3 linked regions of the Drosophila melanogaster genome follow. Changing the gene in region 1 together with any one later gene gives a genetic interaction. Each region holds a gene or a part of one and is shown on either strand. Other genes may lie near its edges.

What was found.
Region 2: of Lpt (region 1) and usp, changing one suppresses a phenotype caused by changing the other (phenotypic suppression), as found in Drosophila melanogaster (one study listed by BioGRID).
Region 3: of Lpt (region 1) and wds, changing one suppresses a phenotype caused by changing the other (phenotypic suppression), as found in Drosophila melanogaster (one study listed by BioGRID).

Annotation. Positions count from the first base shown.
Region 1 is NT_033778.4:23,894,087-23,906,172, reverse strand, and holds Lpt (lost PHDs of trr), read right to left. Parts: upstream 7,613-12,086; 5' UTR 7,504-7,612; coding exon 6,909-7,503; intron 6,850-6,908; coding exon 6,727-6,849; intron 6,663-6,726; coding exon 6,493-6,662; intron 6,430-6,492; coding exon 6,239-6,429; intron 6,182-6,238; coding exon 4,218-6,181; intron 4,154-4,217; coding exon 4,009-4,153; intron 3,942-4,008; coding exon 3,643-3,941; intron 3,582-3,642; coding exon 3,273-3,581; intron 3,215-3,272; coding exon 2,562-3,214; 3' UTR 2,512-2,561; downstream 1-2,511. Other genes in the region: Nap1 (nucleosome assembly protein 1), read left to right, coding at 1-113, 177-317, 380-568, 632-859; CG13562 (uncharacterized protein), read right to left, coding at 1,080-1,510, 1,568-1,743, 1,796-1,868, 1,932-2,138, 2,203-2,344; CG5339 (uncharacterized protein), read left to right, coding at 8,026-8,118, 8,174-8,458, 8,516-9,055; CG17658 (uncharacterized protein), read right to left, coding at 9,474-10,910; Upf3, read left to right, coding at 11,406-11,498, 11,556-12,086.
Region 2 is NC_004354.4:2,035,755-2,043,918, forward strand, and holds usp (ultraspiracle), read right to left. Parts: upstream 6,558-8,164; 5' UTR 6,293-6,557; exon of another isoform or gene 6,114-6,292; intron 5,891-6,113; 5' UTR 5,707-5,890; intron 5,633-5,706; 5' UTR 5,160-5,632; coding exon 3,633-5,159; 3' UTR 3,044-3,632; downstream 1-3,043. Other genes in the region: CG4325 (uncharacterized protein), read right to left, coding at 7,305-7,659, 7,852-7,973. UniProt on the Drosophila melanogaster protein: Receptor for ecdysone. May be an important modulator of insect metamorphosis. Plays an important part in embryonic and post-embryonic development. Binds to ecdysone response elements (ECRES) such as in the promoter region of s15 chorion gene.
Region 3 is NC_004354.4:2,581,963-2,591,364, forward strand, and holds wds (will die slowly), read left to right. Parts: upstream 1-4,017; 5' UTR 4,018-4,316; coding exon 4,317-4,587; intron 4,588-4,798; coding exon 4,799-5,424; intron 5,425-5,478; coding exon 5,479-5,667; 3' UTR 5,668-6,255; downstream 6,256-9,402. Other genes in the region: AANATL7 (arylalkylamine N-acetyltransferase-like 7), read left to right, coding at 1,078-1,764; CG13760 (uncharacterized protein), read right to left, coding at 2,330-2,433, 2,501-2,640, 2,705-2,973, 3,036-3,245.

The sequences.
Region 1 (12,086 bases):
GCTTCTGGCTGACGGTGTTCCGCAACACGGCCATAATGTCTGAGATGGTGCAGCCGCACGACGAGCCCGCCATCCGCAAGCTAATCGATATTTCCATCAAGTACGACAACGGGGTGAGTTTGCTGGCCAATAGTTCTAGTAGTCCTGCCCGTCTAAACCGCTTCTTTATTCATTAGCATTCGTACACCTTGGAGTTTCACTTCGACAAGAACGAGTACTTCTCCAACTCAGTTCTCACAAAGCAGTACGTTTTGAAGTCCACCGTGGATCCCAACGATCCGTTCGCATTTGAAGGCCCAGAGATCTACAAGTGCACGGTGAGCTATCTGCACTCTCGAGGGCAACAAGGGATTTCTAATCGAAACAAAACCAATTACAGGGGTGCACCATTAACTGGGAGAAGAAGATGAACCTTACTGTGAAGACCATCCGCAAGAAGCAGAAGCACAAGGAGCGCGGCGCAGTGCGCACCATTGTGAAGCAGGTTCCGACGGATTCCTTCTTCAATTTCTTCAGCCCACCAGAGGTCCCGAGCGACCAGGAGGAAGTCGACGACGACTCCCAGCAGGTAAGCTCACCCAACAACAGTTTCCGCAAGGCCACTTGCTCATCCGTGTTCGCTTCCTCGCAGATCCTGGCCACCGACTTCGAAATTGGTCACTTCTTGCGCGCCAGAATTATTCCAAAAGCAGTGCTTTACTACACTGGCGACATCGTCGACGATGAGGACGATGAGGACGAAGAGGAGTATGACGAGAACGAGGAGGATGAGTACGACGACGACGATGCACCGCCACCAAAGGGCCCCAAATCAGCCGGTATCAAGAAGCAGTCGCCCAACGACTGCCCGAATCAGTAGGTTGATGTGGCTGGATTACACATGTGTAATGTATATACATAATTCAAATTTGATTTGAAATATATTTTTGGTGAATAAAAATAAAAACAACAATTACAAACGATATGAGCTGAACTCGAATAAACCTACATGATATTAGAATATGGTTGACTTTGATTTAAAAAACATAAGCCTCCTGAGGTTGCTATTCTTGAACCAAGTGTTTTCTCCCAATACTCAGTCAAGCACCGCCTTTGGTCAGCAGCTTTAGCTGTTTCTTGGACAAGTTGTAGGGGTAGTGCAGGCTAGTGGGCACGAAGATCTGCCCCGTGACCTGGCTGTCGAAGTTCTCCTCGTAGCCCACCGTGTAGCCATCTGGTATCTTGGCCGTCTTTTGCCAGGTGAAGCACTCCGGCGGTGTGTAGTTCACGGCGTAGAAGGGATAGTCGAACGTGTTGATGTATATGTCGACGCAGAGACCATGGCTGCCCAGGTGAAGCTGACTGGCCACCGAGGGCTGCTTGAGGCCGCAGCTGCCGAGCATTATGTTGCGGTGGCAGGAGTAGACGAAGGTGCCCTTGTCGCGGCTCGAGTGGAAGCACTGCACATGCTTGCCGGCCTTGGAGTGGTCGACTGCAATGGGATCGAACCCGGGTCCGGCCATATCGCACGCTGCAGTTCAATACAATAATTACTGGGTGTGGCTAAGATAACGCTCAAGATACCGACTGTCTATGCTCTCGATAATGTGGTGTGGCCGTAGGGATCTTCCCACCGCCGAAGCCAGTTGTCCGCCGAAGCTGAAGCCAAACATATAGCCTCGTTTTGGATCGAATCCCTGCCTGAACAGTGTTAGGATAATGGACGATATGGCGCCGGTGAGGGTGTCAAAGTTTGTGTACAGCCTTTAAAAGTCGGATAATGAGAATTTGGGGTCAGACTACTACTACTACCCACCGCATGTACGAGGAACTGGCGACCACACTGTAGTCTATGCATATCACGCATCCGCCGCGGTAGTAACTGAGTCCTAAAATGCATATTTCGAGTAGCTTTCAACTTTGGCATTGAAAAAAATGCAAAAAATGCTCACTTTCAATAAGCGACAGCGCCCACTCGTCCGAACAACTTTGGATCCATCCATGCAGAACTATGGCAAACTTGTCCGTGGGCGAGCAACCCGAGCCACTGAGATCGTAGGCATCGTCGTAGGCCGAAGTCTCCATGGTTTTGGTGTTGTTCTTGTAGAACATCACCTTCATGGTCTTCTGGGCATCATATTTGATTCTCTGCTGGTGGGCTTCATAAACAAAAACATCGACATGATACGCTCGTCCAGCAGAAACTTTCTCCCACATCCATACCCAAAGTGTCATTTTGCGTTGCCTTTGCTGCTTGCTTTTGCCTCAAAATGGCATATTTAAGATTCAGTTTCGAGTGCGTTCCATCAATTAAGAGAACACAGCAAACAATTAGGATTGAGTGGAAACTACTGAACAACTGCATTATCTGGTCATCTGGATGGTTAGCTGAAAATAAAAAGTAACAACAGTGCAAACCGCGTAGAAAACCAGTTTTCTGTGCCGAAGAGATACAAATTCGATATGGTATACGGCAATCGATGAAGAATGGGGTTTGGCGCCAAAAGAGGCTGCATTCAAAAGTGGCGCTTTCTATTAAATATTGCATTTTCTTTATTTCAATTTAAACGATTCCGCTTCTCCTATGTAGAGCACTTTTCATTGTCATCAAAATCTAGGGAGTTGAGAACATTGACGTCCAGTTCTGGGTCCGCGTACTCCAGGATATTGAAGTCGTCTCCCATTTCGGAAGTGAGCGACTTGAGTAGGTCGTCGTCGTCGCCCTCGCCGAGTCCTCCCAGAAGGTCGCTGAATCCGACATTCTCCAACTCCACGGCGGAAGAGGTTGCCTCCTGCGGCTCGCCCAACTTCACATCCTGCTCCAAGGACCTGCCTTCAGATGGCTGAGATTTTCCACTTATGCTCAGCATGGGATTGTTCTGCGTAATGGGTGTGTTCTGCATCATTCCCAGCCGCATTACATCGTTGCCCAAGAACAAGTCCGAGTTGGCCCCCATGAGCATCGGCTCCGTGCTGTTCTTCTGCAGCAGGTTCCTGAGCTTCTTGTCGCCAATGGGTTCCGTGCCGTACACCGCCGTGTTCAACTCCAGCCTATTGTCCACGGTGGTCATTTTCAAGGTGCTGGCTGCTGTCGTGTGCACCTGAGTCCTTTGCATCGTGGCCTTAATCACCAGATTATCGTTAACGTTCGGCATCACGTGATGCGGATTGGGATTATTGGACGCTGCCTGCGCCGAGCCACCAACATAGTTGCCCATATCGTAGGCGTTTCCATCTAGACGAAAAAACAAGGGTTAGAGCAACTAAAACAAGTCTTGAGCTGCAGCACTTACTGTACGTGACAAACATGTTCGGCTGGTCTTCCTTCAGCTTGGGCGGTTGTTTCCACACTCTTCCCATTTCCTCCTGCTTCTGTGGTTTCGGTGGCATAGGTATTTTGTTCTGTTCCCGCCTCTGCCGCAGTGCTGAGCGATTGTCCTTGGCCTTCTGCAAGAACGGCGCCTTCTTCTCGTTGCACAGCGAGCGCCACCTCTTCAGAATCTGCTTGCAGCGGTCGTTCCAAATCGGAAACAACTCCTTCAGGTTGGGATGCTCAGTATTGGCATACAGCACGGCCGAAATGGTGGCCATGAGCCCAAGATCTGCAAAACAAATGGGGTGATGAGCATTTGAATCCTACACTATTTAAATGCACCCTCATACCCTCATCCTTGCGCATTTTCTCCGCCGTCTTTTGAGTGCCAGCGTTCAGGGTTTCCGTCACGGGCTCCACAACCTTCTGCTCCTCCTCTGGTCTCTTTTCGGTTTGCAAAACGACTTGGCTCATTATAGTTTGCATATTCTGCTTATTGGCATTTTGTGGTGCCTGCTGACGGAACTGAAGCTGCTGGGCGGGATTAACCAAAGTATTTCCGCCCAAATATAGCTGATTGTGAAACTTCTGTTCCTGTGGCAACTGGTTGGGGACCATGAAACTGTCGACCAGGACCGCAGGTGATTCCCTTTGAGAAAGAAAAAAGAACAAATTAATAAGCTTAGAATAGACTGGCATATGGACATGAGGCTCACCGCATTGGTTTTTCAATGACTTCAGCTGATGGAACCGTACTAACAGAGTTAGCCATGTCCAGTTCCGGAACATTTGGTGAAGCCAACGCATCCAAAGGATGCCGGTTAGCAAAGACAGTGTTCGAAATCTCCGCTTGCAAGGGATCTGCAAAAATGGTAAACGATACAACCTGGGAATAAAGTGGTCAGTGGGTTGGTTAAACATTTACCAAAAACATTAGACACTGGCGTCGTTCCGTTTTTGTTCTGGATTCCCATGGGCATTTGCTGAATGAAAACAGTTTTGTTCTCAGTTTTCAACTCAGCTTTAACTTTCTTCACGGTCTTCGCTGGACTCTTGTTCACCGCCAGTGTGTCCTGGTTGGCAGGACTCTTGCCCTCGGGCCGCGTGAAGTAAACCTTCATGGACGCATCAATTTCGTCAGAGGAATCTGTATCGGCCATGACAAGCTCTCCACCTTCCAGCAGAGGTTTTCCGAAGAAGGCCTCTTGCAAGTACACGGGATAGGCTTCAATCAGCTTGTTCTTCTGCTTCTTTCGTATGATTTTCTTCTTTTTGTCCATGGTCATAAGGGAATTTATTTGGTCAACGGCCGTCGTCTCCTCGCTGTCCTTCTTGAGACCTCGGTTGCGAACGGAGAATCCACCAATGCCCAGCTTCTGCAGATTGCGCTGTCGCTTCTTGCGTAATATGTTCACTCCCTCGTCGTTAATGGAGATGGTGAAACCCTCGGGAATAGCGTTCTCCGTCCCATCCCAGACCATGCCGTCTTTGTACTTTTCCAGCGCTTCCTCGGCGGCGGCCTCCAATTGTCCATCCTTGCCATTGCCGAGGGCTTGTCGCATTTTGCGCTTGCGTTTGATCTCCGTGGACAATGACTTGATCATGCCCAATCCGCTTTCGCTCAGGCACACTCCGTCAATCCAGTGGAGCGCTTCTGGAGCAGACTCGGGCATATCGCCGGATAAGGTAGGATGATTTCGCTCGGCACCACTCTTAGAATCGAAAGACGGCCCGGAGGAGGCTGTGATGTGCACAAATGGTTTGCTGCCCTGGGGAGTTATGGCCAGCGAATCCTCGTTACCAAACTTGGCATCCGCCAGGGAGTTAGTGCTCCTCGTCGAGCAGCGGCACTTGAAACACTTGTACACATTGTTGTCGTAGTGGTCAATGGTCAGCTGGGCATTGACAGAGTCGCAGTGGAAGTGCGCCCATAGCTCGCAGTGCTCGCACTGGATGATCATCTCGCCGTTGCTGTACGAGACTTTGCAGACGGGACACGAGGATTGGCTGGTGCAGGATGGGCACTCGAGCATGTTGGAGTCCCCGAACTCGCTCTTCTCGGTGGGATTGCGACCGCATTTCTGGCACAGTGTACAGAACGAGCACTTCCAGTTGCCCGTGGGCACGGTTTCCAGCGGAGGATTCACACAGTAAATGTGATACGAAATGTCGCACTCGTCGCACAGGAGCAGGCGCGCCTCGTCGTTCTTCTTGCCACATCCCTCGCACACTGTGCAGTCCAGGCATCGCCAACCCTTCTGCAGGATGCCTCGCGAAGGCTTCACGCCGGCGCAGTACGGATGATAGCATTGGCCGCACTGTGCGCAGGTGATCATCACGGAATCGCTCTCAATGCCCAGCGAGCCGCACATTACGCAGATGTCTTGCGCTTGGATAAACTTATCCCGCGCCGAGCAGAGCAGCAGCTTTTTGTCGCTGGTCAGATCTGTTTCCATGCTGCGACTCAGGCAGCGATCGCTCGAGATGGTGGGCAGCGCAAGCTGGCGCCCCTTGCCTCGGGTGCTGCGTTTCTTGTTGATCTGCGACATCACACCCATGCGGTGTAGGACGAACTTTCCGCTTCTACCGCGAACACTCGTAAGGCACACTTTTTTCTTGCCGGTGGGTAGCTTGTGGAGCTCATCGCTCGATGGATCCATTGTGGGTTTGCCCTCCAGCGGGTCAAGTTCGATTTCCTTGAGGCTCAGTTGCTCCGACGACGAATCCATGGCGGACAGCACGATCGAGTCGATTGTCTGTTGGGATGATCCCGGGCCCGACGAATTACTCTTGCAATTCGGACACACGTAGTCGTAATCTGGGTTTTGCTCCTTCTTCTTGTGGTAGGCCGTTAAATCCGCCTCTTCGTCACACGTACTGTGCACAAATCTGAAACGAATCCATATAATAAGCAAGACTAATCAGGCAGAAGCGAGTGAAACGTACTTGTTGCACCAGCTGCACTTGACCATTTCCTTGTGCGATGCTGCCCTGTACGCTTTCTGGCAAATCGGGCAGGAAAAGCCCTTGTTCCGCTGCTGATAGCACGAATCGCAGATTGTGTAGTGGCTATGCCAGCGGGAGGAGCTGCCGCCGCCAGGAGTTCTTGAACCACAATCCGTACAGACGCGACAGCGCTAGAAGGAACATAAATACCATAAGTATTGGATAACACTTAATATCCGTCAATATCTGCTTACATTGCACTTCCAGCCATATTTGGGGATGGCTGAGATAACTGGTCGCAAGCAGGAGGCGTGGTAAGTCTTCTGGCATTGCTCACACTTAACGTACTTGGTGTCGTTCGAGTCTTGCTGCCTGCAAATCTGGCATTTTGTGCAACGGGCGCAGTTCCACCCAGAACGCGTATCTATGGAAGCATTAAACATGTAAACATGTAAACCAATGGTACGATGGTACTTGACAGTAGTTACCCGGCAAATTGGCCAGACCAATGCAGGTCGAATGAAAGTGGTCTCCGCAGGTACTACACATGATCAGCTTGGACAGATCCCCCAGCGAGGAGCAGGACAGACACTCCACATTATTGTCGCTGCCTGTAAGTCATTTGTTTCCATTAGTTTCTGTGAGAGTTTGCTGCCCAAGAATCACTTACATATCACAGGCACCTGGCTCAAATGTTCCGTGCAGAAGACCGTAAAGCTCTCGAGGATCAGAAGGCACCCAGCAGCGGCGGCACACGGCCAATGGTGCACCTGGCGGCAGTTCATCTTGCAGTTGATGGAGGCCCCGTAGCGTCCACAAAAGTTGCACTTTTGCTCCAGGAACTCCGCGAAGTGGGTGGCAAAGTACGCGCCATCTGCATCGCTTATCTGACTTTTGCGCAGCGACCACATGATGCACATGCGGTGCACGTAGACGAACCCCTCGTCAAGAAATTCGGCGGGATGCACGACGTCCGGCTGTCCAATCTTGTCCAGCTCGTAGTGACAATCGCCCGAACTAGAAGCGGCCTGCTTAGGCCCGTATAACAGCCTGGATCCGTCCTCCCTCAGCCGATCCGTCGGATATTTATCCTTGATCTCGGCGGGCGCGGGCGCCTTCAGTTGTAGAATCTCGCCCTGGCCCAAGGCACTCTTCTCGCCGAGATTGCATAAACAGCACACCTTGCCCGGAAACTTCTCCGGGAAGTACGGCAGGTCGTCGGCCACCGCCTTCTCCTCCATGCTCACAACAACGTTCGTGCTCATCGCGGATTGATGCGTTTCATTAAAATAACAAAAAATAGCCGCCGCTTATTTTGTATACATTACTCGACAGCTAAATAAAATGTCAACGTGCATCGCGCCCCAATGTTATCGAACAGGCGTCAATGTTGTCGAGAACGATGTGCGTTCGTTTGCAGAGCGAGTAGTACAATTATTAGATATAAATATAAAAGTCTTCCTTATATTACAAAGTATTTATACTTTTAAATGGCAAATCAAATATAACATCATATTTTAATTTTTTTTATGCGGCTACAAATTAATTAATTAATTTCTGAAATTATACATTATAAATAATAATACACTTACATTAGGCTGTCACGCCTACATATCGATATACCTTTACCAATCGCATTCAGCTGATCAAAGTGCAACTCTGCAATCCAGCCCTGGAAAAATACCGTACTCCAGTTCTTCAAACTGGAAAAATGATGGCACAACTAAGTTAAACACACAGAAGTAGAAAATGTAAATAAAAGCACAATTATAGACTATTCTGTTAGCATGGCTGTGTATCGTCCCCGCGGCACCCTGGCCAGGGTAATCCACGCCAAATTCCACAACGACAACTCTCTGGAGGACATAGACACTCGGAAGGTAACTCGAAATCCCGAAACAATATGATTTTTCCTAAATTCTGGATGCATTTCAGTGGTACTGCCTGAACCACGAGCTGCCGCCGAGATTCCAGTCCAAGTTCGTGCCGCTCGAGCCGGATGCCACCACCGTGAGCTGGCTGGAGCGCACCAAGGCGCTTTCGGCAAACATCTGGACCCACTTGTGGCACGCCCTGGCTCGCTCAATCCTGCAGTTCTTCATGACCCAGACGGACATCAACGGGTTCCTGAAGCGCGGCTCCATGTTCATACTGTCCGAGGAACAGTTTCGCAAGCTGCTAGTAGCAGGCGGCTTTCAGCCTGCCAGCGGTCAAGAACCTGTAAGATGAGTAAAAGCCTTTAGTCTTGACCACTACTCATCTGCCATCATATCGTAGGTCACGTTGCTGGATATCGGAGCCGGGGACGGTGAGATTTCGCTGCGCGTGGCCAACACCGTTTCCGAGCTGAGCGGAAGTGCCGGGCTGCGGGTCTTCGCCACCGAGGCCAGTTGGACCATGCGCGATCGGCTGAAGAAGCTGAACTTCAACGTAATCACCGAGATAGACGGTCTGCAGAACCTGGAATTGATTCTGTGCCTCAACGTATTGGACCGCTGCTTCGATTCATTCAAGCTGCTCGAGGACATTCACCTGGCACTAGCTCCCAATGGTCGAGCAGTTGTGGCCTTAGTACTTCCCTACATGCACTACGTGGAGACGAATACCTCGCATCTGCCGCTGCGCCCGCTGCTGGAGAACAACGGGCGACAGGCGTCGTTCGAGGAGGAGGCGGCCAGGTTTATGGAGCTGCTGGAGAACTGTGGCTACCGCGTGGAGGCATGGACCAAGGCGCCGTACTTGTGCGAGGGTGATCTCCACCAGTCGTTCTATTGGTTAATCGATTTAATTGTTGTCATTTCCAAGAAGACATTCTAGATCAAAGCTTCCACATCCTAAAAAGAACCCTTCTGAAGTTATTGTAACCGTTTTCCTCGTAGAGTTAAGTGGCTGCATTGAGAAACTGAGCATTTATACTTATTACAAATGTAGGCTATCAACTAGTTAAACAATTTATTCTTAAAGAATTACCAAAAATGTAAATGGATAAACAAACATGTTTAAATTAAAGGGCGACATTCAAAGCCGCGTTCGAAACTGAATACTGTTCTCGATATTATCAACTAATTGTAGTTATTCTACAGTCTTGGGTAGTTTTAATGCATCTAACTTGATACTTGTGGCAGTAATCAGGTAACTTAGAATATGTATTTGACGAGCAGCTGTTTAATAACAAATGTCAGTATTGTCGAAGGTATTATGTGTACTAAACTAAGCCTTATATAGTCTTTGGTAGTCATTGGCATTTTTTTTTGCTTGTGAAAATAACCTCGAGGTAGTTATTGGCATACACAATCCTCTCGGTATCTTCTGGTGCTGGATTGTGCAGTGGCAATATTTCACGATAGGGATTGCCCATTATATTGTAGGCTCTCTCGATGGCAATCTTGCTCTTCTCAGCGGACAATGTGATGGCCGCGAAATCGGAAATTGCCTGAGCCCTTGAAATCGAAGTGTAGCAAATGGGAACACCAAAAGATCGAATAACACTTGACAAGCAAGGCTTCCATTCGTTTTCGAGTGGAACCTTCCTTTTCATATACCTAGAAATTCTCTGGGTTACTTTACCGACTCCGAAGAAATCGGGTTGCATGATGAGAATCAAGGTGGGATCCACATTTAGAATACAGGAATATTGTGAAAATGACAGGGGGTAAAAGCATTTCACCACGGTTTGTTCAAAGCTCCTGTCGCTGAATTTGATATCCACTTGGTCGATGCGCCCAACGGTTCTTCCAATGAAGTGTAATTCCAGATTACGAATGCTTGGGTACTGCAGGAACAGAAAACGCAGGTGCATGTCCTCGAAGTAGCGCAAAGTGTCCTCGGTGGCGCCGGCCACGTAGACTATGACAGCTTTATTCGGATCTGGGACCCAGGAAATGTGCGACAGGGCCAGGCACAGACTTGCGATGCCGCTGAAGGAGGAACAGGTAGCGAATAGCTGGTACGATTCCAGATCGGTCCAAGGAGTGTCGCTGATCCGTATGTCGGTGGCTTCGGTGAAAGCCTTGATTAGATTAGACTCTTTTAGTGGGCAACTGCGGTAGAAGTCCTTGATATTCACTAGACAGTTCAACTGACGAAACGGAGTGGCAATCAGAGCCAGGGTCTGGCAATCCTCCGGGGTGTGATAGCCCCTGACTAGGCGTTGGTGTGCCGCGGAGCAGAAGGCCACTCCGGCACATCCTTCACAGTCCTCGAGAGCTTCAGTGCTGAAGCACACATCGCACACGGCTGGGTTGCCGATTAGCTGATGCTCCCGCTGATTCAGTGGTCTGCCCAACTTGGCCAGCAGGACCATCTTTAGCTGCGAAATGACGAGCTGAAGCTTCCTGCGATCGGTGATTTGGCCGAGCAGCTTCAACGGGTGATCGATCTTCATGGACTTCTGCAGATCCCTCAGCACCTCGCAGAGTGGCTTGTGTTCTTGACGATCCGCCACGAGATGGGACAGGCTGCAGTATCGCTGCATATTGCAGCCTCTGCATATCACGCTGGGCTTCACATGTGCTTTCTCCAGAAGCGTTTGCAGGTGAGCAAGGTTCTTTTCCACCTTGTCCGATTCCTTGGTGAAACCTTGTATCAATTCTGTCCAAGTCCTGCCCTCATCGGAGACGCAGACGAAGCACTTCAGAAAGGATCCCACTGGTGGATCTACCGGCGCCATCATTTTGCAATGCTCAGATTCCTGAAAACGATGTTACTGCATCATGTGTCAAGCTCTCTAGAATGTCCATTTACTCATTACCTTGACCAAGTTTCCTTTTATTCATTCAATTCGAGCATTTAATGTGCCAAAACAGTCGAAACTGTTTAAAAGTTGAGCATGATATCTGCGTACCGGTCAAAAAAAGCGCTCTTGCAATGTGGATTTAAAGAACTAGTTCCAAAGATCTAGATACCAGAGCCTTGTCGTAATTGCCAGAAATGGCACAGATATTTCAAGTTCTACTTTCCTAATATTTGGCTAACTAACTAAGTGACTAACTTCTTTGATAGAATCTATTTTTTTTTACTAGAATAATTGGATATAGGTTCCACTTGTGAACTTTAGAATTTCTTCTAGTTCGAGCCGAAAGTGCCATCTCTATCGGTTCCACATCATGTTTGCATTTGTTGGCTTTTCGGCTTTGTTTTGATTTTTGTAAATAAAAAGGAACAGAAAATGGCTGAAACTTTTGCCGAGGAAAAGCCCAAGGAGAAGTCCAAGGCAAGCAGGCGCAAGGACAAGAAGGACAAGACCAATCAGATCGTTAAGGTACCGTCCAGACTGTCTTAATCCCACGATCCTCCGAAACTAATGCATTCATTGCAGATTGTGATGCGGCATTTGCCGCCGACCATGACGGAGGCGCAGTTCCTGGATCAGGTGGGTCCTTTGCCGGAGAACGACTCGTATTACTACTGCAAGGCAGACTGGTCGCTGGGCCAGGAGGCCACCTGTCGCGCCTACATCGATATGTCCTCCAAGGACATAGGCGAGGTGGTGCAGTTCCGGGATCGCTTCGACGGCTACGTCTTCGTCGACCACAAGGGCGTCGAGTACATGGCCATCGTGGAGTATGCTCCCTTCCAGTGCTTCCTTAAGAACAAGGCCAGGAACGACGACAGCAAGGTGAACACCATCGAGAGCGAACCCCACTACCAGGAGTTCATCAAGCGGCTGGCCCAAGAGCGCGAGGAGGCGAGTCGCATGGGCGACGTCAAGATCGACTTCAACTTCGAACGGCGAACAGAAGAGAAGGTCAAGTCTACACCCCTCCTGCAGTACCTGGCCAACAAGAAGGAGAAGCGCCGGGAGGAGGCGCGCAGGCGGAACGAGGAGAAGCGGAAGCAACGCGAGGAG
Region 2 (8,164 bases), on another chromosome or scaffold:
TGTTTTCCGCGCTCGTTCCGTTTCGTATCGTATCGTATCGGTTAAAAATAGTATGTTTTGAAAAAGTTTTATTTTCGGCGTCAACGTCAACGCAGCGAAGGGAAGTGGGCGGGCCGGGGGCGGAGAAGGACGGTACGGGATTGGTACATATTTGAAATAATTTTGAGAAATAGCGCGAATTCGGATCGGAAATCGGAACTGATCCGGTAAATATAGATCGATATACTCTCGGTTCGTTCCTTTTATTGTGTCTAGTTTTTTATTGGTAGCACTTTGACTCTCCACATAGATCATATATACGCACATATTGTTCGGATATATATATATAAAGATATATGTGGTTTGGCATATATAACCATCGCACGCACACACACACACACCTCACACACATGCACAGTTTTCGTTACTTATATTTTGCTTTGCTCGTTTTTTTTAATATTTCGTTTTTATATTTATTTTTCAAACAAGTACAAAAAAATAACCCAAAAAAAAAAGAAAATAGAGTATAACGAAAGCAAGTGAGTCGGTTAGCCAGATATATATATATGTACACATATATATATCTATATCTACTCGTGTGTGTGTAGTCGAACCAAACAAAAACAAAAACAACAAAACAATCTGTGTGGACAGCAATTGGAGCAATATCTACGTGTGTCGCTTGCGAAGAGAAAGACCCGCTCGCGTTGATAGCCAACTCAAAACTGATGTCGCGCCAGCCAGCTGCTAACTCTGAATACCGTCGCAGTCGTCGTCGCAGTCGCAGTCACCGCCGCTGCCGTCGGCGCACCAACACACACCACACCAACCCCCCCATCCGACCCACCTGCCCCACATCGCCCACCGCACCACAGCAGCCGTCGCAGAGGAAGAAGAAAAGTCTGCCGTGCAGCGGGAGCATCGGATCGAATCGGATCAGTTTGGATCGCTTGCCATAGCCGAAGACCCCAACATCCGAGCATCCGAGCATCCAAGCATCCAAGCATCCGAGCATCCAAGCATCCGAACATGCGAACATCCGAGTCACGAAGAGTGGAGCGGCAAGAGTGCCGGAGTGGGAGTGGGTGGCAGAAGAAAGTATGAATTCGGCCAGCATAAGCGTACGATTCGTGGGACCCTTTAGTTGAACGATGAAGTGCGGGCATGCTGCTTTCGTGGACTTTCACTCGTCTCGTTTAGAAATCAACACAATTCCGATACATTCTGATTATGATGAATATACGTATATGTACGAATGTCCTGAACATGAGTTTGTTGAACGATCAGGTAATTAGGACCTGGGTATGAGCCAAATAGTCTGGCCATTGGACTGTCTTCTAAAAGCAATGGGTATCGCCAGTTCCGAACTCCTTCTTTCTGCTTTTTGCTCATTTGCAGCTGCGGTGCTGCCTGCTCCCCTTGCTTTTGCTGCGGCTGTGACGAAGAGAGCTCTCGGACGGACGCCCATTAGTGAAATTGGTAGGAAAATGCAGTTGCAGGCGACACGAAGTAACGCAAAGAAAGTAAGAGAGCTCAAAAGGGGCACCCTGTATGGCGTATGCTGTGCGCGATATGCGAAGACGACAACAACTTGTTGGCCCCTACGTCAGCGCGTCTGACGCCCCACCTCCTTGGTTTTCTCCTCGTCTGTCAGCGAGTCTCCGCGGTTCAGACAGCATCCACCCATAGTCCCCTCGTGGGTCTTTGGCAAACGCCCCCGCATAACTACGAAAATAGCAAATTGTTAATTTCGCTTCGAAAACTCTTTTCCAATACACACACGAAATCGCAAATCGTCGAAGGAAATGGTGGTGGGTATTTGGAGGAGGAGGGGAGGGGACACATGATTTTATTGGCATGCTTTCATGGTTTTTCCGTGCGAAACATTTCATTTTTCATTCCACATTTTTTAACACGCTGCTACATAGGACTATTTGTGTGGGCTTCTTCTTGTCGGTGGAGAGAGATGAAATTTATGAAATTTATTAAATATGCTCGCCACACACAAAATCAAGGATAGCTATTAGCTAAACCAATAAAAACCACCCACAATAAGTGTGGACACACTGCCGTCTCTCTCTAACATTCTACCCCTCTCTTTCACTCTGTGTGGGAGCTTTCAAAAGCTCTAGATCATTTGTGTGAATGGAGAATCTGAGAATACGTTCATGTTAAATAGCCAGGATCTCCGACGGCTAAGTATTGTATCCGTCGACTTGTCCCAATTTACAGATATTCCTTTGGGGCGAGATATACAGATAAGATACAACGATATAGAAAGAGATAGAGCCTCAATTTGGCTATTTATAGAACATAATGTGCGTCGTCAGCGGCGAGTTTTGTTCTTTTTTCAAAAACAATATCTATTCTTAGTCGCTGCTTGTGCGTTAATACCATATTTTTGTAAATACATACTAACATACATTCCCGCTGAGACATAAATTTTATAAAAATTGACCAAATGCCATCTGAGAGGCCGCAACATCAAGGTGAGGAGTGGGGACCATCAGGCGATGGTCCACAAACCAAAAATCAATGCCTAGGGGACGCGAACAAGGCGTACAGTGCGGTTCGAAAGCGAAAAGCGATCCTTTCATAATCACAATAGAAGGGATTTCTAGTTGGTTAACATTTTACACATTATAAGTACAAGATCGTGAAATCGTTGGGATCATCTTTTGAATGAAATGAATTAAATTTAGACTGGCTATTTTCGAAGAGTTTCCGCAGTGAACTTTATTTATTACCTCCACCTAATTATATCACAGATATATTAAAAAAAAAAAGAAAGCCACCCAAGGGGCCGGCAGAATAACTAATTTAACTAGTAATACAAAACTTGTTAGGCGGAACAGAACATAGTATGATTTATAATAATAAAACTGAAATATTGAAACATCCGCGCAAATAGGCATGGATGTATATACATTTCCGCCTTCGAGAAAGTCACTCGATTTCTTCTTACAGTCCTGAAACGCACCGCTTATATACGCAAATAAAGCCATATATTTGTGTGGACAATGGGATTAATCGCAGATCCGCAGATAAAACGACCATATATCTTGTTATGCAGTTTATATTTTTTATACATAGATATATTTTGTTGGTTTTCGTCGGTGATTTTTGTATCTCGCATCTAATTGATAACGTTTTGGGTAAATTTATGTTAAAAAGTAATTACAATTGATTTAGAACGGGGCCAGCACCGCAGATATGCGCCTGCTGACATATATATTTATGCTGAATTTGTATGTTTACATACGTCTGTAGATCATAACTATGCATTAATTTTAACCGTTATTTTAATATCTTTACTCGTTTAGCTTTAGTTTAACTTTTACTTTTACTTTGCTTGTGTGCATTTTCTCGTTCGTGTTTTGTGTTCTTTTCAAGTTTTGGATTTTGTTTGTTTTTCGTTTACTGGGACATAAACGTCGAGGAGGCTAATCTTCATCTTAAGGAAAACATTTTCTATATCAATAATAATAATAATATTAGGTAATAAAAAAAAAATAAACAATTACATACACATTTTGCGTAATATTAGGGGGCTTTTGTAGGGTATAAGGGATAGAGAGGAGAAATGCAAACAAACGCAATCACAATGAAACATTTTTCGGATGGAGAACGGGGGAGACTTTAGAGTCGGGACCCTACTCCAGTTTCATCGCCAGGCCGGGTGGCGGCGGCGCCTCCAGCTGCTCGAGAAAGAGCTCCTCCAGCGGCCGGTCGCTGGTAATGCGGAAGAGGAACAGGTGATCCTGGCACTTCAGGCTGATCGATCGCAAAGCGGGCAGACGCAGCAGCAGTTGCGCAAAGCGTCCATCGTCGCCCGGATGTTCCAGGCGGCAGTGCTCGTCCAGGCAAGCGTACACCTTCTCGCGGCACATCTCGATCTCCGCCCGGCTCTTGATCCCGCGTATGTCCGGGTTGTACAGTATGATGGCCTTCAAGCAGGACAGCTCGCGTCGGTCGAGATTCAGCCGCTTCATCTTTACACTCAGCTCCGACAATATGCGGTCGAAGATGGCTGACACACCGGCTTTGATCGCACTGTTGCGATGGTACGAGAAGCTCTGGTTGAGGAACAGCTGCTGGGGCTGAAGGCCCGGTGATCGTCGCTCAAAGGAGCCATCGTGGCCTAGTCCACCGCCCCCGCCGCCGGCACCGCCGTCATCCAGCGAAACGATGCTGCACCAGGCCACGTTCGCAATGAGCAGCTCGATCCAAGCGGCTTTCAGCAGAATCACCTGGTCGTCCAGCGGCACCTGGGCAAAGTGCGGCATCATGCGCGCGTATTCGACCATCTGGAAGAGCTGTTTGTTGACCACTTGGCACAGGGCCGACACGGCACCCTTGTAGTCCGGCTGGACTGTGGAATAGGGACCAACGCGCAGGAACGTCAGTGCACGATCGCCGCATTGGGTCTCCGCTCGCTGCTCGGCCTCTATGATGCGCTCGATCGAGAAATCCCTGGACACGCTATTGGTCATGAAGTCATCAGAACCGTTGCCGCTGCCCATTCCGCCAGAAACGCCGCCTCCTCCTCCTCCGCCTTGAGAGCTGGATCCGCCTACCGAACCTGGACCGCTACTGCCGCCTCCGCTGGCGCTGAGCCTACCCGCCGCATTGCGGGCGCCGCGTTGACGCTCCTCCTGGACCGCTTCGCGCTTCATGCCGCAGGTTAGGCACTTCTGGTAGCGGCAGTACTGGCAGCGGTTCCTCTGCCGCTTGTCTATGATGCAGTTGCGGTTCTCCCTGCAAGCGTATGTGAGATCCTTGCGCACTGTGCGTTTAAAGAAGCCCTTGCAGCCCTCACAGCTGTACACGCCGTAGTGCTTGCCACTGGCCCGATCCCCGCAAATAGAGCAGAGGTGCTTGCTGCCGCTCAGCGGATGGTTAGGCGGATACTGCTGCTGGACTGCAGCGGCGGCAGAGCCTCCAGCCGAATTGGGCGCCTGCGCCATTTGGGCATCTCCAGCGCTGTTGTTGTTGGAGCTGGCGGAGTTGGAGCCGGGCAGCACGTGGACCATGGACATGGCCTGCATGAAGGGCACGGGACTCTCGGCCTTGGGCGAAAAGCTGCTGTTGTTGCTGTCGTTCAGCTGCGAGATGTCCGGCTTGACCTCCTCCTTGATGTGGCTCAGCCGAAAGCTGGCGTCCTGGTCGCAGTTGTCCATCCTGGGCTTGTGATGTGGTGCTGGGTATATTGGAGGAACTGGGGGCAGCGCCTCCTCCGCCTACCGGTTTCTTCTTGCTCGTTCTCTTCGTGTGTATGTGGTGTGTCTTGGCTCGCTTTCGCCTCTCTGTTGGGGTTTCACTTTGCCAACGCCACCGTGTCCGTCCGTCCGCTATTGGTCCGTTGGGCCAAGTGGAGCAGGTTGCAGTTTCGTTGTTGGTGGGGTCGTTGCTGCATTTACATAATCTTGAGCCGATGGAGCAGCGCACTTTATTCGCTCGCCTCCAAACAATTGCGCTTTTTACCAACAAACAAAGAATGCCAGACTTTCTGACTAATGAATAAATACCTTTTTTCGCGTCGACATTTTTTCTCAACAAAGACAATCTCACCACAGCGACGCAACTCACCAACGTAGGGATGGACTGTGACACAGGTTGCGTCGTCACGAGTCACAGTCACGACTGTTAAACACTGTATAAAATTAACAACGGCGATGGTATTACCTTAAGTCATATGGTATATAACGCATCTATAAAATTACATACTCCTCTTTTTAATTAATGCACGACATAAGTACATATATCGGTCTCCCAATTGAAGCACGGATTCGTGACTGGGCGCAATCGCATCTCTAATTCACCACAAAGTGGACAGGGCTGTTTTCCCACTCACAGAAACAGTTTTAAGTGGGCGTTAATGACCCAATTAAAGCGCTAATGCCCATCGCACCTGCCGCAAAAATAAGTGTTTTTACTTTGATAACCAATGCGCAATCAATCAATTAATTAATTTAGTCGAAAACCAGAAAACGGGAGTAGCGACAGCCCTGGCGGCGCCATTGCAAAACTCACCGCACCTACGGCGCATGCAACCCTGAGTCAGTCTGGCTCCCCTCCTCACCGCCTTGCAAACCACACAGTGCACAAATAATTTAGCGCCGCTGCAATTATGCAGAATAGAAATGCAAAATGGAGACGTGAATGTGCGCCAATTTCACCGCTGCCGGCGGCAACCTCGGCCTCAAATCGCAAACGCCGTCGCCGAGAATCGAGCGGTTAGGCTGCTGAACCGTGAATCCCAAGACCAAACGGAACCAGAATTGGGCGAAATGCAAATGGAAGTGCAACTTACTTGCAGCCAGTGGCTTTTGATGCGCCGCAAGGTGACGGTTGTTTATTTACTTTTTTCCTTGGCTATCAGTTATCAGTGCTCGCGAGCACACACACACACAGGCACGTCACTGACACGACAACACCACACGACGCTGATTTAATTTGTTGCAATCTCTATTGTAATTGTAGTAATTGAGTCCATCCCATCATCACAAAGAGACGCGACGCGGTAATTGGCATTCGCAAGAAGAAGCATTTCGCGAAACAACAGCTGACAGCGTGGTGAGAAAGCGATTGCGGGGGGCGAAGAACTGGTTTGTCTGTGGTGAGTATACTGTCGCGGTGAGTTGCCTTGGTTCGGTAAAAAACAATGGCACATTATAGGCTGTTTCCACTTCGCTTAATGGTCAGAAAATCTGAAAATTAATCCGTCATGGATATTTATGTATTTTATATATTTATGCGATAGTTAGACCGCAGTAAATTTCTAAAAAATGAATTTCCGCGATGACCAAGAAGCAGGGATTCAGTAATTCAAGAGCACCCTAACATCTGCCTTAAAATTCGATACCGGTTTAGAACAAAAATGGGAGATTCAAAATTTATATAGAAAAAAATTTGCTTAACACTATCAAATTAAGAAGCTTATTTTAAAACAGTTTAAGGGAATGGAAATAGAGTTTTCACATCAAAATTGACATTCAGGACATATATTCTTAATATTTATTTGATTATTGGTATACAAAAAATACACTAATATGTGATATTTTCTATCAGTTTAATTTTCTGATATCGCAATTTGGGGCCTCAGCCCTAAACAATTTATTTCTATTTGGGTCTATTATCTTGTCAAACCCTTTAGTTGCTAACCCTGTACCTACCGCTTCCTTTATAATGAAATGTATCGAGTTCTTTTGTTTAGCTCAGCCTTATTACGTTTTGCCTGTCGGTTTCGCAAATATTCGGTTTTGATTGGTTTTCAGGCGAATAGTACGATAAGCAAATGCGACTCGTTTGTTTGTTTACGGCTTTTAATCAACATCCGAATCCGAACATTCATGTAGTTTGCTGAGTTCAGCATTGAGGACAGTAAGGGCTCCGATCCGCTGGTTAAGATATTCGATCTCTTCTCGGTACACGCCCGTCTCGTAAAGTAGATTCTCGTACTCCCTCATAATTCCAATATAATCGTCACTGCTGCTGTTGTCGTTACTGTTGTTGTTGTTGCTGCTGCAGCTGCTGCTGCTGCTGCTGTGACCTTGGCTCCGATTATGGCCGCCCCAACTGCCACCCTGAGCCGATGCACTTTCCGGAAACTCCTCAAAGTCCAGATAAAGCTGAAAGTAGGCGGCATCCTGGCTGCGGCAGATAGGGCAAGTCCTTGATCTGCAAAGCAGACGGAATCCGCGTATAAGACAAAACGTTTGAGCTCGGCGATAAGATTTGGGGCACTGCCACTGATTTAAATCACTTTTGTATCATTTTCATTTCTGATTGGTGCATAAATTAGAATATTATATCAGTGGCACATTTCATTTTCGTTATAGCTCTCAAGTCCTTAGGATCACTTTTACTTACTGCTTTCTCCAGTGGTCTAGGCAGTCCTCGTGGAACGCGTGTCCGCAGCTGCCGGCTTGTATATTGTCCGAGGTGCGAAACCGCTCCGAGCAGATCGTGCAGATGACGTTGTTACGGCCCATTCCGCTCCGGTTGACTTATACCTAGGTCGATTCGATTCGCTCCGATCCAATCAGGTTCGATCTCCCTGTGCCGTATTGTTGCTCGGCCGGTGACAGGGGACTGAATGAATGCAAGTCGCTGAATCGAGCGTTTTGCTGATAAGCGTCCAGGCAGCCACAGTACACTCCACTCGGTCCTCCTCTTGTCGTCA
Region 3 (9,402 bases), on another chromosome or scaffold:
TTGGTGCGTATACCACACGTATTTTTCGTGGCGCATTTGGGGCGGTGGAAACTCTCGATTTCACTGTACTTCGGCACACAAGTCACGAGCAGGCGGCAATCGCTCCCATTGCTCCAGTGTGCGTATGTTGCGTATACGCATGGCTGTCACTCGAAGGATACGAGCTCCCCGCTCCCTGTCCATACTTTAATTTCAACCCATCCCAGAGGATAGCATTTTTCTCATGCTTCGGCAATGAGGCAAACACGAGGGCGTACACGCAGCGAAAATTTGAAGTCAATTGGAGTGGTTTGACCTACAAATAACGTGTGAAATACTATTGAAACCCAAAGGTTTTTAGAGCTACACTTACGTGGAATGCGAAGTAATTTCAATTTTCATTGGTTTGCAGTTAGAAGTCTAACTTGGTCTGAGTATTTTCTCGATGTGTATTAACGGGATGCTGTCGCTGGCGCTTCGCTTGGTCGGCTGCTCCAGCTGCTCCAGTCGCATTTCGCATCTGAAAGCGCCCGCAAGTAGGTTACACATTTTTTCGTCGAGCAAAACAAACAGCGCACCTCTGCCCGCCGTCCAGCTCATCCGATCCCGATCCCATTGGCCACAGACGAACTGAGTAAGTGGAACTAACTAACAAAATCCAGCACCGAAATCGGTTGGCCACGGATGACACCGCTTTGGTCGCGGTGCCTGGGATTAGGTGGGCTATTCTCGCAGGGGGGGTGGCATTCGTTGGGGGTGTGTCATTGGGGCAACACAAAGAATAGTGAAAGTGCAGTGGGAGCGAGCGAGAGGCAAGAGGTCGAGAGTTGAAAGGACAGGCAGAGAGTTGCGACTAATTGAGTTATAGGAAAAGAGTACCCACATGTATGTACCTAGACTTTTGCAAACGAAAATTAAAATTAAAAAAATTAATAGTGCTTAAATGTACGGTTGTAATGTAATGCGTACTTACCATTCGAATTTAGTTTATATTTTAAATCATCGAGATCTATTAGTAATAATATTATTAATAAGCTCCTCCCATAGATCTTCTTTACCATCCGCAGACAATTCGGCGATTGCAGCGGCTGTGACACCATGGAGTACAAGATGATTGCACCGGAGCACAGTGAACAGGTGATGGAGCATCTGCGGCGCAACTTCTTTGCCGACGAGCCGCTAAACAAGGCCGCCGGCTTGTGCCAGAACGGCAGCAGTTGCCCCGCCCTGGAGGCGCACTGTGCCGAGGCCATACAGCACCGGATGAGCGTGATGGCTGTGGACGCAAAGGAGAAGGATACCTTGAAAATAGTCGGCGTCGTCCTCAATGGCATCCTGAAGCCGGGCGACACGGCCAAGGCGCTGAGCAAGCTGGACTGCAACGACGATGCAGATTTCCGCAAGATTTTCGACTTGCTGCACAGGCACAATCTCAAGCACAATCTCTTCGAGCACTTCGACGTGGACTGCATGTTCGATGTGCGCATCCTATCGGTGGACTCGTGCTACCGTGGCCAGGGGATTGCGAATGAGCTGGTCAAGCGGTCCGTGGCGGTGGCCAAAAAGAATGGCTTTCGCCTGCTGAAGGCCGATGCCACCGGCATCTTCTCGCAGAAGATCTTTCGTTCCCATGGCTTTGAGGTCTTCTCGGAGCAACCCTACAGCAAGTATACGGATGAGAATGGCAAGGTGATCTTGCCCGTGGAGGCGCCCCACATCAAATTGCAGCAGCTCTACAAGGCGATCTGCGCGGATGACCAGGATGAGAAGAAGCAGTCGCTTTAAGGAGTCACCCGGCTGGCTCACATTTGGAACAATAATCTCATTTATTTTCTACATATACATACATTGCATAATCGTTATTGGAATGTTTTCGTACTACAAATATGGAAATTAGTTGGGGGGCGTTTAACGGAAAGTTAAAGCTAGGGAACAATTACTATTGTTCTGTGTTTAAACATAACTATGAAATAACATTGGATTTTCGGACTTTCCGTCGACGGTTTTTGGAGCGTCAATGGAACGCCTCTATAATGTACGAGTAGACGCTGCCTGGCACGTTTACATAAATATAATTTTGTAATTGTTTTTTTTTGTATGGGGACCAACTGCTAACAATACCTAAATAAAGTACACTGTTGTGCCAAAGTTAACCAGACAGCTTTTTCTCTTACCTCCCACTCGAAGTCCCCCCCTACAAGGTCTCCTCCTAAAGTCCTAATATCACAAGCGCAGATTCCAATCATCCGTTCTCATCACCTGGCAACCTGGCGACGGCAGGTACTTCTGTTCATCTGTTCATCAATTCATCTGTTCATTTGTTCATCTGTTCCGCTGGTTTATCCATCTACTACTCCCTAGTTTCCTTCTTCTCGTATATGAAAATGATGTCCTCGTCCGTGCCGTAGGCGCGTCGGGCCGTGTCCATGGACTCGATGAGGCAGCGACAAATGTCTGTGGAACGCAGCCAAAAACGAAAATCAATGAATTTTCAAGGATTGCTACCAAATGGAATACTCACGGCCATCGTGGACCTCGGGATTGTGGTAGAAGAGCTTCTGGGCGGCCATGTCATATCCGCAGAGCACCACATAGTGTCCGGCATACCTTTTGGGTCCATGGAGGCGTGTATTTTGAGCAATGCAGGGTATATGAAAACAGCTTTTCATTCGAGTGTGGATTTAAGGTGGTTTTTTGTGAATCGCCGGTGGCAAGAGGAACTCACCCGAACTTCTCTAGGACATTGCGCTTGCACACCTCGCACGTGAGCAGCGAGGCGTTGGTCAGCAGGATGACGGGTCCGTGGCGGGCCAAATGCCGCAGAATGACCTCCATGTCCACGGTGCGCTGTTCAACGCGCAGTCCATGGGCCCGGGCGTCCTTGAACTTGCGCGTCACGCGCCGTTCGTCCTTGTCGATGATCTTGGAGTAGTACGTGTGCTGCGCGTAGTTGGGATCGATCCCGAGCGTTTGGGTGAAGTACTCGTGGCGCACCTGGCCAAGAAGAGAGTGTCAAAGAAGTGAGCGAATGCAAATGTGCATCACGGCATGCCCACCTGGTAGCGCATCAGCAGATAGCACAGGTCGATGGTCCAGGTGCTCGAGCCAAATCCCTCCTCGCCGCACACGGCATCAAAGTTCCCAAGAAGCTGTTCCCTTTGCTGCGCCGACAGGATCATAATGATGCAGGACAGACCGCAGTCCCAGTTGTAGCGCTGCTGGTAGTGCGTCAGGTTGTAGTGCTTGCTCGGCGGCAGTCCGTTCATTCTGGCCAGCAGCTGGGCTCTTCTTGGCTTCTTGTGCTCCTCGGGTCCTCGAGTCCTTGGCTCCGTGTGCTTCGCGTGCTCCTGTGCCCGCGGCTGCGCTCCTTTGATCCTGGCGTCCAATTGGAAACTGAACTGGGAATGTTTTGGTCTAACAGCTTGGGCCAGTGTGGCCAGGTGCAGCTGTCTGCGGAATGCCAACTGTCGGCTATGTCCAGTTGAAAAAAATGCCAATTGAATTTTTTTAGATATATATTGTAAATATTGTAATTAAATAATATTTATACATAAATTGTGAGTCGCCAAAGGAGTTAGATGTATTTTCCTACAAATCTTGGTTGCTGCTAGGAAATTTTTGGTTTGAAATCTTAAAGGCGCAAAAAATGTTCTAACACTATGTAAATCCTTCTTAAGCCCTTCAAAATTGACAGTTCAGTTAGAATTACCTGCAATTTTAAGACTAAATAACTACTGGCAATTGGTATAAATTTAAATGCAACTGTACGCGAAACTTCAAACATGTATGAAACGATCTGGCAACGTCGAGCTAACTGCATGCAATTTGGCATCGATGTGCCCGATGCACTCCCCCTGATAGTTTCAGCGGGAAACTAAGAGTCCCATTCTAGAATCATCCCCCAAGGACGAAAACATCCCAAATCTCCCTAAAAAAAAAAACAAAAAGCAAGGAATCGAGTAAACACGTTCCACCACCGCTGTGGCAATCCGTGGCTGGTGCGCAACGGCCACACTGACGCGCTGACCAATTTTTAGTTATTAGTGTGACCTTAAGCATTATTATTTTCACGTGTGGCACGCAAACGAGCCAAAAAACCAAGCGCCTATTTAAACAAACAAATCACACGCCCAGCAGAGAGAGCAGCCGGTGACCACCGGTAACGGGAGTAGCTGCAGTTAATCCGACAGGCCCAACAAATTCGCCCGCTAATTGGCGGCGTTTCTCTAGTCGGAACAACAAGAAGAAGAAGCACGTGTGCGGCGTGCCAAAGAAAAAAGGAAAATAAACAAGGAGGCCAGGCCAAGGAGCATAAGCAGAATCCGCATCCGGAGGACATGGTGCCCATCGGAGCCGTGCACGGCGGCCATCCCGGCGTAGTGCATCCGCCACAGCAACCACTGCCCACGGCGCCCAGCGGCCCAAACTCGCTGCAGCCGAACTCGGTGGGCCAGCCGGGGGCCACCACCTCCTCGAACAGCAGCGCCTCCAACAAGAGCTCGCTATCCGTCAAGCCCAACTACACGCTCAAGTTCACGCTGGCCGGGCACACCAAGGCGGTGTCGGCGGTCAAGTTCAGTCCGAATGGCGAGTGGCTGGCCAGCTCCTGTAAGTACATACATCCCTATCCACGAATATCTGGGGGGGAATTTTATGGTACTGAACTGCTATTGGACTGAACAGGCAGCTTTGGCAGCTCAGTTAATGGGAATTGGGATGAAATAAGATCTCGGAAAAGAGAAGAAGCATTTATAGAATACATATTGTACATTCCATACATACAGCACATGCCTATTAAACTTCCACTTCTAACCCTCAGCCGCTGATAAACTAATCAAAATCTGGGGAGCATACGATGGCAAGTTCGAGAAGACCATTTCGGGCCACAAGCTGGGCATCAGCGATGTGGCCTGGAGCTCAGACTCGCGACTCCTCGTGAGCGGCAGTGATGACAAGACGCTCAAGGTCTGGGAGCTGAGCACCGGGAAGAGCTTGAAAACTCTGAAGGGCCACAGCAACTATGTGTTCTGCTGCAACTTTAATCCGCAGTCCAATCTGATCGTCTCCGGCAGCTTCGACGAGAGCGTTCGCATATGGGATGTGCGCACCGGCAAGTGTCTGAAGACTCTACCCGCCCATTCCGATCCCGTTTCGGCGGTACATTTCAATCGCGACGGATCGCTGATCGTGAGCAGCAGCTACGACGGCCTCTGTCGCATATGGGACACGGCCAGTGGACAGTGCTTGAAAACCCTGATCGACGACGACAATCCGCCCGTCAGCTTTGTAAAGTTCTCGCCCAATGGCAAGTACATTTTGGCCGCCACGCTGGATAATACGCTCAAGTTGTGGGACTACTCGAAGGGCAAGTGCCTGAAGACGTATACGGGTCACAAGAATGAGAAGTACTGCATATTCGCCAACTTCTCGGTGACGGGAGGAAAGGTGAGTTCATATCTTATGCACATTTAGGCTTTAACTCACAAGCGTCCATTGTAGTGGATCGTGAGTGGCAGCGAGGACAACATGGTCTACATTTGGAATCTGCAGAGCAAGGAGGTGGTGCAAAAGCTGCAGGGACACACCGATACCGTTCTGTGCACCGCCTGCCATCCCACGGAGAACATCATTGCTTCCGCGGCGCTCGAGAACGACAAGACCATCAAGCTGTGGAAGTCGGATACATAGAGTGGCTGGTATCCAGCTGGAGGACGTTCGATCGGAACACACACATACATTTCTTGGATAATATTATTTTAAAGCGAACAGCCTAATCGTAATTGTAACACCCCCACACCCCCCCACCACGAGCCCCCTTTTTTTTTTGTACGCATAATTTAAAAAAGAAAAGGAACTCTAAAATTCTACGTTTAAATCACACTTTAAACCTCACATTCTACGGCAAAACGGAAAAATTACAAACAAACAAACAAAAACAAAAAAAAAAAACAACAAAAAGTGAAAACAAAAAAAACGATTAATGTATAAATATTTATTAGCCTATTGTATTGGCCCACCATGCAAGCGAGAATATTCCCCCAAAATTGTTTGTAACCTTTGACACAGCCACGCAAACCAACATAACTTATAATGATCTTTCGGTGACGAGAAAACTAAATTTAAGCGTAAAAGATACAACAGGTGCTCGGGGCAGAATCCCAGCGCCAGAAAGAATATATATAAAATACGAAATGTAAATTTTGAATAAAAGAAAACACCGTCTCGGCGGCGCCCAAGTGTCCTTTCAACTTGCGCGCTTTTCGAGGCGAGACACTTAAATGTACAAATTGCATTTTATTCACATAATAAGAGAAGTTTTAATTCTAAAAAAACATACAGTTTAGCAAAATTACGAAACAAACGAACCTTCATTACGGTTTAAAAGCGATAATAAGTACGTTTAATATATTACGGTTTTTAAATGAATGAACACAGGTATAATACTTAACGTAGACGTTTTCTTTAAGTTATTTATTTTTAAACTCTAGCGCCTATTGGAGTGCGACCCTGCGTTGAGTTCGGTTGAAGAGGGCCACACTGCCCGTTCAGTTTGAACGTTTGCCACTGGATTTCGACAACGGCGCGCGACGGTCACTTGGCGAAACGAAAATCGAAAAAACCGACGAATCGAAACTCGGAGATCACGGATTCGATTCACTTGATTCAGAACCTTGCCGAATCCGAATGCCCCTGCGATGCGCGCGCCAACCCGCTGAACAAAAGTCGCCAAGTGAATTTTGCAATTAATTTGCAAATCAATATCGCTCCGCCGCCGTCGCGCACACACACACACACGCAAGCACCCGCACCGCGCACACATACACACACACACACACACATAGGGACCGCGACACGCATAGTGAGAAAGAAGTGGCAATATAAGCAAAAAAAAGAAAAAAAATACAACGGTCGTGGGAAAATCGATTTTCCTTTTAAACAAATCGCTGTTAGCTTGAGCTTTTCCAAGCGCCTCTGCTGCAATTCCTTCGTTTTTTTTTCCTGTGCAAAGTACGCCGAGAGAGCGGCGTGAACCGGTGCAGAGAGAGAGAGATTAAGTGAGAAGGGGTGAGAGAGTGGAAGAAGGTGTTCATTGGCAGAAAATTAGCAAGGCGACAAACGTTTATAAATATAAACACATATATTCCAATATAAAAATCGCAAATATTAATGACGAGACAAGAGCGCCTGCAACAACAGCAACAACTGCAACAACAGCAGCCCAGCAACCAGGGATTCTAATTCGAAAATAACCCAAACAAATCCAAATCGGCGGGAGCGACAAGGAGGAGAGGAGAGTGCTAAAGAGAGGCGCCAACAAAAGTGTATCATTTAGGAGCGGCACACCCAAGAACGCGGAAAACTCCCGCCCACCCTCGCCACGCCCCTCGCCGACCAGCACACCCATTACCAATACCAATAACAGCAATAATAACAACAACAACAATAACAACAACAGTCTGCAGTGAAGAAACGCAGAGGAAAAGACAGGCGGAGACAGATATAAAACCCAAACATTCGGACACTCGCTCTTCTTCTTCCCAATCCGTTTTGGCATGGAAAACATGGTGAGCAAAGAAAAGCAAGTTGTTAACTTTTCAGGGGCGTAAATCGACAGGGGTTAAGCGCTAATATTCATCGAGCTAAATGTCCGCTTGACGAACTAGTTTAATGAGCTTAACTACCCAATTATTAAACCCATTTAACTGCGCCCTTGGCTAGCCACCCCCCTCACTTTCGACGCCCTTGGACCGCCTATTAGCACATTTCGGTTAACAGCAGTTGTTGTCGCCGTGTGTGTACATATGTGCACAGTGGCGGGCAAGAAAGTAGGTCCTAAGTACAGAGATTTCCAATAATTGCGAGCAGTGTCTTAACTACTGTCCTTACCCGCCCATGTCCTTATTACTTAAGATGAGCAGCATTACCAAATCAGACATTGACAGTACTTTAGTCTTAGACTTTGCATCACAGCCGTGTCTGTTTGGCGCACTGCTCGCGTGTTTTTGTGTAATTTCGCTCCCATGTGGCAATGTGACCTGTTAACTTGGAAAGTTACCCGGTGGATCTCGTGACTCTCGTCTACATCCAATATTCATAGCCAGCGGCGAATGTCCTTGAGCAAGGGGTTGGCCCCCATTTTAACCCCCCGATGGGCGCAGCAGGGCGTGCGCCTAACCCTTATGCCGCCGCTCCCTCGATGACGTACAGTCAACACGGCGATTGAAAGAACGCAGGATGTTTATGATGCTTATGATGCTTATGATGTGCATATGTGCATAACATAAATATATATTCCCAACGAATCCATTGACTACTCAGCGATGCAAACAAAGTTAGCAACGTATTTAGGGCGCAAGAACGGTTTCCGTTGAACGGAAACGTTGACTTTAGCAAACAATTGGGATTGTATTTCGGTTTCAAATAAACATACATAAAGTAGGTTTCCAAGATTCTTAGGCCCTAAGCTAGGTGATACTTTTAGTAAACGTTGATAAACACGAATGAGGAGCAACGACCATATAATGTCCTCCTAAGACAACGCCAACAGCAACTTGATCCGCTGCACTTTCTGTCGAGCTGCTGCAGATAAGGAGAAATGTAGGCTTTAGCTGGTAAACAAACTGGAAAACAGTAGAATGTGGCACACCTTTGTGGCGCGCTTACTTTGCCGACGAAGGAACTTTCCGTTTAGCTCTGGCTACTATATTTGCCATTGTGTTTACTCGGCGGACTGCTCTGTGCAATCCAGTTGTCCATTTGCCCTAATCGAAGGGGATGGGCCAACCGTTTGCATGGCCCCTTTTGTAACTGCCGGCCACATTTTACTTGTGGCCACCATAAGCGAGTGGCTGATTGCGTGCTCTGCTCGCGCTTATCTACGCACGGACACAGACGCATGTTTGTCGCTGTTTGCTCAGTCCATTGCGATAAGCGATTTGGTTCTCTGCTTTTGGTCTCTGGTCTCTTTTGTTTCTTTTGTGCCAGCCGTCGATTTGTGGCCAAAAGGCTGGTGCCTGCGCTGCTTAGTGGGCTGGTGACATAGCATGTGTGGTGCTCGGTCCATGTCCTTGTTGCTATTTTGCCTCACCTCCTGACCTGGCCATGATGTCATGTCGATGGTAGCACGTGCCTGACCCACTGCTAATGTGCGCTCCTAGTTTTCGACATGCAATTATCGTATCCGTCCATCTGCTCCGGTTCTAGCGACGCCAATGAACTAGGCATACAACGAATTGCCATCTGATATGAAGTCCATTTGCATGATGTCTCCAGCTCTGTCCAGACCCATGATGATGTCATACTGACCGACCCACCTGAATATGTGCCCTTGGCTTGGCATTGTCCTCTTGTATACTCCAAATCCACTATCTACACGATGGTATATTCAGTGCATCCACATACATATATGCGTGCCTGCGTCTT